Linked DNA regions of Caenorhabditis elegans. The protein of the gene in region 1 interacts with the protein of each later gene in a pairwise test. Each region holds a gene or a part of one and is shown on either strand. Other genes may lie near its edges.

The links.
Region 2: the proteins of pcyt-2.1 (region 1) and K12H6.7 interact in a two-hybrid assay, tested with the Caenorhabditis elegans proteins (one large-scale study listed by BioGRID).

The regions. Positions count from the first base shown.
Region 1 is NC_003279.8:2,077,146-2,084,989, reverse strand, and holds the start of pcyt-2.1 (ethanolamine-phosphate cytidylyltransferase), read right to left. Parts: upstream 6,032-7,844; 5' UTR 6,023-6,031; coding exon 5,964-6,022; intron 5,727-5,963; coding exon 5,633-5,726; intron 4,247-5,632; coding exon 4,090-4,246; intron 3,878-4,089; coding exon 3,681-3,877; intron 3,035-3,680; coding exon 3,014-3,034; intron 2,957-3,013; coding exon 2,915-2,956; intron 2,177-2,914; coding exon 1,961-2,176; intron 652-1,960; coding exon 574-651; intron 512-573; coding exon 440-511; intron 185-439; exon of another isoform or gene 1-184.
Region 2 is NC_003280.10:2,834,253-2,838,920, reverse strand, and holds K12H6.7 (FBA_2 domain-containing protein), read left to right. Parts: upstream 1-1,967; 5' UTR 1,968-2,302; coding exon 2,303-2,403; intron 2,404-2,696; coding exon 2,697-3,311; intron 3,312-3,740; coding exon 3,741-3,870; 3' UTR 3,871-3,988; downstream 3,989-4,668.

The DNA.
Region 1 (7,844 bases):
CCTCGCGGGTTTCGCGTGCCTCTATCTATTGCGTGCGACTCTCCTCGTTTCGCACACTCTCTCGCGCGCGCGCGTTTGATAACTTTTCAACACGGACTGTAAACGCACAAAACGTCTTATTTCCTACATGATAATCCAATTTTTCATCCAAAATTAATGTAGGCAAGTAGAAAAAGGCTTGTTCTATCTGAAAATACTATTTATTTCTGTGGAAATGCTTCAAAAACGCCTCAAAGGCCTGTTTCAAGCTTTTCAACAGAAATAAATATAATTTTCAGATAGAACAAGCTTTTTTCTTCATTTCTACATTAATTTTGGATGAAAAAATTGGATTATCATGTATGGAGAATTAATTTATTTATTAAAACATGAATTTGAATTTGAATTTTTTGTTTATTTAAATTCAAATTCAAATTTCTCGAACATTTACAGCATTTACCTGAACATTAAACTGATCCAAAATGTCAGAAGTAATCTCATATGGAGCACCGAACACAACTTCATTCACTGGCTGAAAAAAATTTTTTAATTTTCAATTTTTTCAATTTATTTCGAAAAGTTCAAACTACAAACCTTATAGGCCAGAACGGATAGTACACGCTCGTGAATCGACATTATGGGGTGATTGCTTCCCTTGTATTGATTGACAGTCTGTGAAATTGATAGTTTTATTCGATTGTGGTAGATTTCTCATTTTTTTAATGTAAAAATGCCGAAAGTTGGGAAATATTTTTAATCGACTCCAAATTTTCCCCTGATTCCGAATATCTAATCAAAAAAATTTCCCCTGATTTTATATTTAAGCTTGAAATCGCCAAATTTCATTTGTGCCCCCGCATCACTTTTTTGAATGCGCGCCCAAAGAAACTCGCATTGGAGCGCGCTTGTACCGTTTTTTTTTTTCATTTTCTTCATTTATTTTCGCCGAATTCAAGTTTTTTAACCAGTTTCATTAATTTTTGTCGATTTTTTATCGGTTTTTTCGACAAAAATTATTGAAGCAGGTTTAAAAAATTGAATTCGGCGAAAATCAAACGATGCAAGTGCGCTCCAATGCGAATTTTTTGGGCGCGAATTTCAAAAAAGTGATGCGGGGGCACAAATGAAATTCGCCGATTTCAAGCTTAAATATAAAATCAGGGAAATTTTTTTCGAATTTTTTCCGGAATCAGGGGAAAATTTGGAGTAAATTAAAAATATTTCCACATATTTCGCTACTCCACTTTTAAAAGAAATTTACAGAGAAATTTACGAAATTACCGCCAGGTGTGGTAGATCACAAATGCATTTTTGAGGTGAAAACGGGTTAATCGCTATTTTAACTTCATTTTTCGGCATAGAAATTTTTAAATAAAAAAAAGCACCTTGCAAATGCGCTCCATCGCAAATTTGATGGCTGAGATAAAAAATAAAAAATTGAAGAATTTGAATTTTTGTGAAGTTTTTGAGAGGATGGCACATCAATTAACCCTTTTCACGAAAAATTGATATTTTTAACGCCTTTTCTCATGGAAATCACAAAAAGAAACTTTTAAAATTTGGGTAGATCACATTTTTTTATTTAAATTTTAAAATCAAACTTTTTGTTTCAAAAAAAGAACAAATTCGCATTGGAGCACGCTTGCATCGTTTGATTTTCTTCATTTAAATTTTTATTTATTTTCGCCGAATTCAGTTTTCTAAAACCAGCTTCATTAATTTTTGTCGAAAAAAACAGATAAAATTTAGACAAAAATGAATGAAACTGGTTTTAAAAAATTGAATTCGGCGAAAAAAAAAATCAAACGATGCAAGCGCGCTCCAATGCGAATTTTTTTAGCGCGCACAAATGAAATTCGGCAATTTCAAGCTTAAAGGGATTGAATCAGGGATTTTTTTTGAATTTTTTCCGGAATCAGGGGAAAATTGGGGAGTCAATTAAAATTATTTCCCAGAAATTTTCTAAACAAAAACGCTCTACCTGATCCGATAAAATTCCCACAATCAGGTAATCTCCAAACTCTTTGGCTTTTTCCAGGAACGCCAGATGTCCAATATGGAACAAATCAAACGATCCGGTCACGTAGACAACCTTGTCCGTCGGTTTTGGCGGTCTTCCTTCGGCAAACTCGAGAATCGTTGTCGTTGTTGGGATGAAGCGCGAGACACGTGTCCAGGGGGACATTGCAACGTTGTCCTGAAAAGAAATTTAGAAAATTTACACTAAATTGTACTTATTACGTGTTTATCCAGAGATGAGAAAAATCGCCATATCTGACGCGCAAATGAACCCGCGGGAAGAGACAAAACTACTGTAGTTTTCAACCAATTTGTGTAGATTTATGAGCTATTGCGTCATCGTTGAATTTAATTTTGAGCCGCAATTTTTAATTTTCAGGCGTTTCACACGTTTTTATATTGAAATTTATCTATTTATTGAAAAATCTTAAAAGAAAACACACAAAAAAATTTAGAAAAACGCCTGAAAATTAAAAATTGCGGCTCAAAATTAAATTCAACGATGACGCAATAGCTCGTAAATCTACACAAATTGGTTAAAAACTACAGTAGTTTTGTCTCTTCCCGCAGATTCATTTGCGCGGCAGATATGGCCATTTTTCTCATCTCTGGATAAACACGTAATAGAAAAAGTAGATTCTAAGCTTGTTCTGAAAAAAAAATAATATTTTAAGCCCCATAGGGTTCCGGGCTTCCTCATTGAATTTTTCGCGCTCCATTGACAATCGCCTTGGGAAAGTGGTGTACTCCACACGGACAAATACATTTAGTTTTACAACTAAAATCGAACCGCGACGCGACACGCAACGCGCCGTAAATCCACATGGCCTAGTTCGGCAAAAACTCTTCCATTTCAATTTATGAGGGAAGCCAGAAATCCGTGCGGCCCACTAAAATTCAAAATTTGGTCCATTACCGCTATAAGCCTATTCAGACGCCGTTTTTTAGACTGCATACGCTGAAAAATTAAGCTTTGCAAAACTGGAAAAAACGACAAGCAGCCGGCTACGCTTACCTTGCTGTACTCCAGAATAGCCTAAAATTTTAAAAATTTTTAAAAATTAATTGAAAATCGTAGTAGCGCCAGTTGGGAAATTGCTTTAAAACATGATTTTAAAAAATTCAAAAAAATTTGAAAATTGAAAAAATCTCAGTTTTCCCCCTAATTCCTATTTGAATTTCCGCCGAAATGATGTGTTCGATGGAGCGCACTTGCATTATTTTTATTAATTTATTTCATTTTTTCTCATTATTTCACTGATTTTCTTGTATTTTTATCGGAAAAAGTGAGAAAAAAATGAAAGATAAATGCAAATTGTTTATTAAAAAATTATTGAAAATGGGAAACACTGTGGTAAAACCCATTTTCAATAACTTTTTTTTAATGAACAACTTGCATTCATCTTTCATTTTTCTCTTTTTTTTCCGATGAAAATACAAGAAAATCAGTGAAATACTGAGAAAAAATGAAATATATTAGTAAAAACAATGCAAGCGCGCTCCATCGAACACATAATTTTGGCGGAAATTCAAATAAATAGAAATCATGTGAAAACTGAGATTTTTCCAATTTTCAAAAAATCCAATAAATTTAGAAAATTTTTTTTCGAATTTTTTAAACCATGTTTTAAAGCAATTTCCCCCCAGCCAGTGGCACAAGTCTTCCAATAATTCCGACTTACCGTGCTCAGCGAACGAGCTCGTTCGACGTGTTGCTCGATGTGCTCATCCTGTGTGTGATGGTTCTTGGTGAGCAGAAGCATTCGGCCAACTAAATCAGTTGTAGAGACACCACACGTTCGCTTACATTCTCTGTATCGTTGGTGATCCTTCACCTCTTGATACGTGTCTTTTCCGTCGGCGGTTAGAGTTATGTCGTCTGGAAAATTGATCTACTTTTTTTACACGTGGTGCTGTCAGAGTGTCTCATTTCGGCTTGATCTTCTGGTTGATCTACAAAAAATGCGGCAGAGTTTTCAACTGATTTCGCATGGTTAAGAGCGTGTGCTGACGTCACATTGCTTTTGGGCGAAAAATTCCCGGATTTTTTTGTAGATCAAACCGTGATTGGACTTTAATTAATATTTTTACCTCCGTGAACACAAAAATCACAATCATACTTGTCCAGAGTTTCGACTGTTGTGGCGTATGGCGCATTTTCCACAACTTCATCGACCCATTTAATGCCGGCAACCATTCGATATCGCTCTTGTTCATTGAATACTGGAGGTCCTTTATGTAGTCGAATCTGGAATTTTTTTTTTGAGTTAAACTACAAATTTTCCCCTGATTCCGAATATCGATGTGAAAAAATTCCAAAAATTCAAAAAAAAAATTCCGTGATTTTATATTTAAGCTTGAAATCGCCGAATTTCATTTGTGCCCCCGAATCACTTTTTAAATTCGCGCCCAAAGAACTTCGCATTGGAGCGCGCTTTGATTTTCTTCATTTAAATATTTCATTTATTTTTCGCCGAATTCAGTTTTATTAAAAACCAGTTTTATTCATTTTTGTCGAGTTTTTATCGGTTTTTTCGACAAAAATTAATGAAACTGGTTTTAAAAAACTGAATTCGGCGAAAAATAAATAAAATATTTATTTAAATTAAGAAAATCAAAGCGCGCTCCAATGCGAATTTCTTTGGGCGCGCATTTGAAAAAAGTGATTCGGGAAAAACAAATGAAATTCGGCGATTTCAAGCTTAAATATAAAATCGTGGGAATTTTTTTTGAATTTTAATTTTTTTCACATCGATATTCGGAATTAGGGGAAAATTTGGGGTCAATTAAAAATATTTCCCAGATTTCGGTACTCCACCTTTAAAGGTCGGAAAAAATTGCAATAAAAAAAAATATTACTTAACGTTTTTTTTTCTATTTCAATTGGAAATTAGAAACGAATATGTTTTTTTAGTCACTAAAAATGTTTTTTTTTTGCTAAATTTCGATCTGAAATTTAAAAATTTTTAATGATTACCACAATATACCCTAACTTACGATATATTTAGTGAAAAATATTGTAAAATATTCTTTTTTTTTCCATGCAACCCCAAATTATAACGAAAATATCCATTCAATCAGAATATTTACCAGATGCCAACTATTTCGGGTCTCGACGCGATCTCGAAAAAAATGAAAAAAAACTGCAAAATAGCTAAAAGTACAGTACTCCTTAAAGGGTCACACACGCGTGTTCCTTTAAAATTTTTGTCAAGTCACGAAATTTCTTTTTAATTCGTGGCTTTTAATAAGGAAAATTGAATAATTGAATTATTTAAACAATATTTTTTACCTGAACTATCGTAATTTAAAGTGAAAATTAATTTAAATAATTCACAGAAGTTGATTTTTAAAATAATTTATAGCCACGTGGTGCCAGGGGTCCCTGTCCCATTACGGTTTGATCTACAAAAAATGCGGGAATTTTTCTCCCATTAAAATGTGACGTCAGCACGTTCTTAACCATACGAAATGAGTTAAGAACTCTGCCGCATTTTTTGTAGATCAGCGTAGATCAAGTGTGTTATAGGGAAAAATTTCGCAATTTACGAGTTACGACTTAAAAACTGCTAATATTTTAACAAAAATTTGCATATTCCCATCTTCTTTTTAGGGAGAAAAAAATATTGAAAACCTCTTCATCATTATGTACTCCAACAATTAACTTCTGTCCAAACTGCTTAGCCTGCCGTAATTGATTTGCATGGCCGAAATGCACCATGTCATAACTGGAAAATTAATTCATTTTAAGGCTCAATTCACATGGTGTCAAAGTGTCTCATTTCGGCGTGATCTACGTAGAGATCTACAAAAAATGCGGGAAAAGAGACGCAGACTTTTCAACAAAAATTGGTTAAGAACGTGCTGACGTCACATTTTTTTGGAAAAAAAATCCCACATTTTTTGTAGATCAAACCGAAAAGAGACACTTTGACACCACGTGTCGATTCCAGCCAAAAACCAACCATCCATCAGCCCAAACTCGATTTCCTTTGGGCAGTCCATCTGGTGCTAATCCGCTCATTTTTGAACTGAAATTTTAAAAATAATTTTTTTTTTTAATTTAAGATCAAAGTTCAAATTGTTGCAGAAGAAAAAAAAATTTAAAATCACGTTAATAATATTTTCTCACTTAAAATTTTAAAGGTTGAGTACCGAAATCTGTGAAATATTTTTTATATTACTCCAAATTTTCCCCTAATTCCGAATATCTATGTGAAAAAATTCAAAAAAAATTCCCTGATATTATATTTTAGCTTGAAATCGTAGAATTTCATTTGTCCCCCGCATCACTTTTTTTAAAATTCGCGCCCAAACAAATTCGCATTGGAGCGCGCTTTGATTTTCTTCATTTAAATATTTTATTTATTTTCCGCCGAATTCAGTTTAAACCAGTTTTATTCATTTTTGTCGAAAAAAATCGATAAAAGCTCGACAAAAATGAATGAAACTGGTTTTCAAAAAACTGCATTCGGCGAAAAATAAATAAAATATTTAAATGAAGAAAATCAAAGCGCGCTCCAATGCGAATTTCTTTGGGCGCGAATTTGAAAAAAAGTGATGCTAGTACAAGCGATTTCAAGCTTAAATATAAAATCAGGGAAATTTTTTTGAATTTTTTCACATAGATATTCGAAATCAGGGGAAAATTTGGAGTCAATTAAAAATAAATTAAAACAATGTAGTCAACGGACATTGAAGAGTGACCCCGACATCACCCGATTAAATAGCAATCGGAATGAAAAAATGCGGAAAAAAAAAGAAAAAAATTGTGACGTTATCAGTTCGAAAAGGACGTCGAACCCGGAGCAGACCGCCTGTCATGGAAAAAATATTTAGTCGAGTTTTTTCATTTTCAATGACGAATTGTGGAGGAGTTTCTCACAAAAAATTCAAAAATTGCACTTCCGGGATTTTTCTACTCAGTAAGCCTAGTGGGGAAATTGCTTTAAAACATGCCCATAGGGTCACAATGACCGAATATCACGATAAAAAAATTCAAAAAATTTTCTAGATTTTATATGATTTTTTTTTGAAAATTGAAAAATCTCAGTTTTTGCCTAATTCCTATTTGAATTACCGCCAATTGAAATTGTTCGATGGAGCGCACTTGCATTATTTTTATTTATTTATTTTATTTTTCTCATTATTTCACTGATTTTATTCGTTTTTTGGGGGTTTTTAATCGGAAAAATAGAGAAAAATGCAAATTGGTCATTAAAAAATTACTGAAAATGGGTAAAACTGTGTTTCGACGCCAAAAATCCTGAAAATAGCATATTCCACAGTTTTACTCATTTTCAGTTACTTTTTAATAAATCTTATAAGCATTTACCTTGCATTTTTCTCTCTTTTTCCGATAAAAATACACAAATAATGAAGAAAATCAGTGAAATAATGAGAAAAATAAAATAAATAGTGCAAGCGCGCTCCATCGAACGAACCCAATTGGCGGTAATTCAAATAGAAATTAGGGGAAAACTGAGATTTTTCAATTTTCAAAAAATCATATAAAATTTAGAAATTTTTTTTGAATTTTTTAATCATGATATTCGGCCATTGTGAAGCAATTTTCCCACTGGGCGCACTCCACCTTAAAAAAATTTCATTGAAAATCAAAAATGTTGCCAATTTTTTTAATAAAATCCTTCCGAAATCTGAAAGTTGGTAATTTTATAGAAAGTTTTAATTATTTTTCTATTTTTCGCGTCTAGAAACTTCAAGAAAACAACACAAAATGACGTTTGGTCACACCACAAAACACATTTTGTTTGTTTCCGATGGAAACAAAAATCGTAATTTTTCCATTTTCCCCTTACACAAAAGAAAGGCAAATTTTCGAAAAT
Region 2 (4,668 bases), on another chromosome or scaffold:
GTTAGTCAAAGATATGTGCGTAAACATTTTGGAATTCTCAGAAATCTCATGATGAAATTTGGCCGTTTCAATCTGTGCTCTTTGAGTAGCTTCAAGCCATAACCTCAGTTTTTTTTCTTCAACTTGAGATTATTTATACATTTTTGAACTGAATATAGTGAAAAAATTAACAAACCACCATCTGCTCGCGAATTCTGGCGTTTTTTCTTGCTTCAATAATTTCGGCAATTACTACAGCAAAAAAAATTCCAAAAGCATCCGAAGGAGAGAGGAGACCACCATCCGCGACCATTGATTGGCTAGAGTCAGTCGAATCGGCCATCTAAAAGAAATAAGTTTGGAAATGGAATAAATTTGAGAGAAATAGTTCATACCGATGCCACAGCTGATGGTGATGCTGCCTGGCTTTGCTGATCCGTCTGAGGAGAGGGAATACCTGCATTGGCGACCATTGATTGGCTAGAGTCAGTCGAATCGGCCACCTAAAAGAAATAAGTTTGGAAAAATAAGTACTTTCACTCAATAATTTGATCATTCAAATGATTGCCCATCTTGGCAATCCTTCTTAAAATGACAGTTATAAATAAAATAGTTTAAAAAAAAAATAGAAACAAACAAAAGTCACCCAGTTAAACCATAAAAAGACATTTTGCTCGTTTTTTTCCACCGGTGGTTAAGAGAGAAACTAAATTAGGCGCCGATTATTTCATAATGATAGTAGATCAAATATTATCAATGTAGGTCTAGTTGAGAATTGTGCGAGAAAACGTTGAAAACACTGAAATCTATGATTGTATGATGTTCCCTGGCCATCTCGAATTTCTAATTGTTTTCAAATCAATGATCTTCCTGTATCATGAACATTTTTTCAAAGCATATTTCGCAGGATATTATTGAGAGAAGATGTATGTATCATTATTCATTATTCGAAAATTATGTCGGTGTTCACGAATTCCACTTTTCACATCATTATCAGGTAGACTTTTTCACTTTTCACTTGAATTTTAGTCAACTACAAGTTTTGACTATTTATTTCAACTCACCTTTAGACTATTAAAGGTGGAGTAGCGGCAGTGGTTAAAAACCACTCCTCTGGTCCCAAAATATTCAAATATCGTGATAAAACGTTTGAAAATTATATTTGAAATTTAATTTAAATTATTTATATTAAAACATTGTAAGGGTCGAAACATGCGAAATTTTTTTAAATTTCCTCAAAAGCTCGTATTTCTCAAAATTTTGGCAGTCTGCCGAAACTTTGACCGGAAATTAAGAAAAATTTGTTTTTTGTAGTGTTTTATTATGATATTCGGTTGTTTTGGATCATTATAAGTGCATTTAGACAAAATCCCCACTGGCGCTACTCCACCTTTAAAAAGAAACAAATGCCATTTGGAAGATTGCAAATTGTAAAAATGCTTGCAAACAATTTAGCGGCACAGGAACCCTTTGAATTAGAAAACTACCTTCTTTGTTTAAATTTTTGCCCCTCTTGCAGTCAGATACTGTTTCCTCGTGTTCATAGATCGAATCTGAAAAACTCGGTACTTAGTGTCGATTCGGCACTTCGGCACTTTGCAAACACATTTTGCTGAAAAACTGGATTTTTTGTACGAAAACGCGGTTTAACGCTTGCTCGAATACACTGAAATGTGACCATTTAGCAGATTGAAAACAAAACTGTTCTAAAAATGTTCGAAAATGTTTTACCGAAGTTTAGAAAAATAAGAGCTGAGTTTACCTAATAACGCAGCACCGTTGTTACACTTTTATGAGAGCGTGAGCAATTGAATTTTATATATTGAAACTCATTGTAACACTTTTTGCACAACCCTATTTTTTGGTAATTATTGATTGAGATGAGCTCATTTGCTGTTGTCTCGTGGGATGACCTCTTCAGTGCAATATCTTGTCTTCCCCATTACACAGTACTACCACCGTCTATTCTTCATTTGTCTCTTACGTTCTTTCGGATCGATTCATCCAATTTTTCTCCCACTGGAATAAAATTATATGCATTATTTGATCCTAGTGGCACCTTCATTTGTTCCCCTTTAATTTTATTTTCAGAAATTTTTTGGTGATGCCATTTCATTTTCCACTTTTCCCACATCTTGTCCAAAAACAAATCTGCCAGGAGTTTTGCGATCTTGACGCTCTAATATTCATGTTTGCTTCTGAAAAGTCAAAAATCATAGCTACAAAATCCAAAAATGATGCCTTATCCATCTTGCAAATATGCTTCAGAACTTCCGAAGATCATGATCACTGGTTTGAATTGACAAATCACAATTCCAATTTTATGGGACGAATTTATTTGAAGAAGGCCAAATCTGAGGAAGATTTGCTGAAGCGTGGGCGTCCTTTCACAGTGGAAGTGGATGAGTTGAAGATTCCGTTTTGGTGGGTTTTCTTTCTTTTAAAACAATTGTAAAAGTCGTATACTTACATATAACAGCCGGCAGAAGCGTTTGGCTTAGGCTTAGGCTTAGGCTTATGTTTATGTGTGGGCTTGGCGTCAGTGGTAAGCGTCAGCTCGCTACTGACGCTATTTAGGCTTAGGATTTTCCGGTTTTTTTGATTTTTGAGGGGGTTCCAGTCGGCTGATCAACGCGAATTTTTCTCGTATTCCGTTTTGGTGAGTTTTTAATTTTAAAAGCATTGCAAGACGTTGTAACTTCCAGAACTTTTTTCAGTGTTTCACCAGTCACCAATACATTTGACAACAAGAAAAAAGTTTTCCTTACCTTTCTCGGACCAGTGAAACAATTTCACGAAGCAATTCATCTTTGCATAACTTCCTTATATCGACCCACACCATACAACAAGTATGAACTCACTACAAATGTGGACGATCTCACTTGTACTCCTGACATTAAGAATATGAAAGAGAGCTATTTAGCGACTATAAAATCTGAAAGCCTCAATGCAAGCACCATTGACAACTTTTTATCTAAAAAAACAAGCATTGAAAAGCTTACATTAGGAATGAAAGTTCTCGATAATTTTCAAGAGGATTCAGCTATATTTCGAATGAAATACTTTTGGTTCACTTATTCCCTAGAGCATGCTCCAATTGTGCTCTCCAAGTTTCAAGGAACTCATTTATGGATGACCGATGCCAATATAAAAAATGAAGATATCATTTCATTTTTGAACACTTGGCAAAACTCGGAGTGCGATCGGAAAATATTTGAAATAAAGGTTTCTGAGGGGATGAATCCTTTGAATCCGGATATTGTGTATGAAGATATTGACGTCAGCGATTGGGATCCTGCAGAGAGACCGAAAGAGTTTAATTTTGTGTCGACGTGAGTTTCAGCCTTATTGCTTCAAAATCCTTTCAGGTTGATGCATCATGTCCTCACTTAACTTGGCAAGCTAATATCTGTGTTTATGTTTAAGTTGTCACTAAGTTGCCAACTACAAAATTGTTAAGAATTAAACGACCAATATTTGGTTAGTTGAACATTTTCTGATAGAGCTGAAGTCAGCTGAGATACGTGCTCACGGAGTTGAGCAAGACATGGTGCATCGACCTAGATTCTCTCACTTGCAGCTAGCTCCGGCAGTTTTTATGAGCGGCTGGGGCTGAGTTTTGAGCAAGACAAGGTGCATCAATTTATTTTTTTTTTTAAAGATATTTATGAATTTTAATTACTGATTTATTGCCAAATTTTTTGACAATCCCAAAGCCTGCCAAAATGCAAGTTGTCAAAGTTTAAGTTTTTTTATTTCAGATTTTTCCCAGAAAACTTCAACAAAGTCTATGATTGTTCCACGTGGATGGATATTAAAAGATCTGGCGACGGAAAAATAGCATCAATCTGTATCACTTCTAATGCATTCAAATTTCTTGTCTGGGATTGAATTTGTTTTCAGAATTTTCTCATTGCTTTCTGGAACCCTTAATTTTTATTTTGTACATGTAATGAAAAATAATTGAGTTTATATAAGAATGAAGCCTGTAAATTAAATTTTTCATTTTTTGAGCAAAAAGTGTTGTAAATTTCACGCTTATATAAATACGAGTAGGCATAAGGCAGGCAAGCAGGCAGATCTAGGAAACCTAAAAGGCAATAAGGCAAGTCTTGGCAGCCTAGTAGGTAGGCAGACCTCAGCAGGCAGGCACATTCAGCCTAGAAGGCAAGTATGAATGCCTAGGCAAACTAGTAGGTAGACACCTCTGGAGCGCCTAGAAGACAGACTGGATAACCTGAGAAGCCTAAAAAGCAAGAATGCAAACTTAGGTAGCTTAATAGGCAGGCAAGGCAGGCATAGACAGTCAAGTAGGCAGGCAGCCATCTTCGTACCTACGCAAGTTTCTTGATTTTTTCTATACATTTTCCAGCACTTGTTTGCTATTTACAAGCTCCATATTTCCCAGCAGCTGAAGCTGACTGAACTGAAAATAATTACTCGAGGAAAAATTTAATTTCAGAGTGGGGGAAAAGCTCGAAAAAAAAACAGAAGAAGTTGTCAACAAACCTCCTTTTCCATTTTATTCCCCCCGTCATACACACTTTTGGTAAACATGAGACAGCAGAAAAATAAATTTTTTCCGTTTTTTTCTTTTCCACCTCCCTCTCTATCTCTCGAATTTTTCTCCCAACATGCCAAATTTTCCCCGTTCTTCGCAGTTGGCTGACTAGCCATGTTACTTTGATG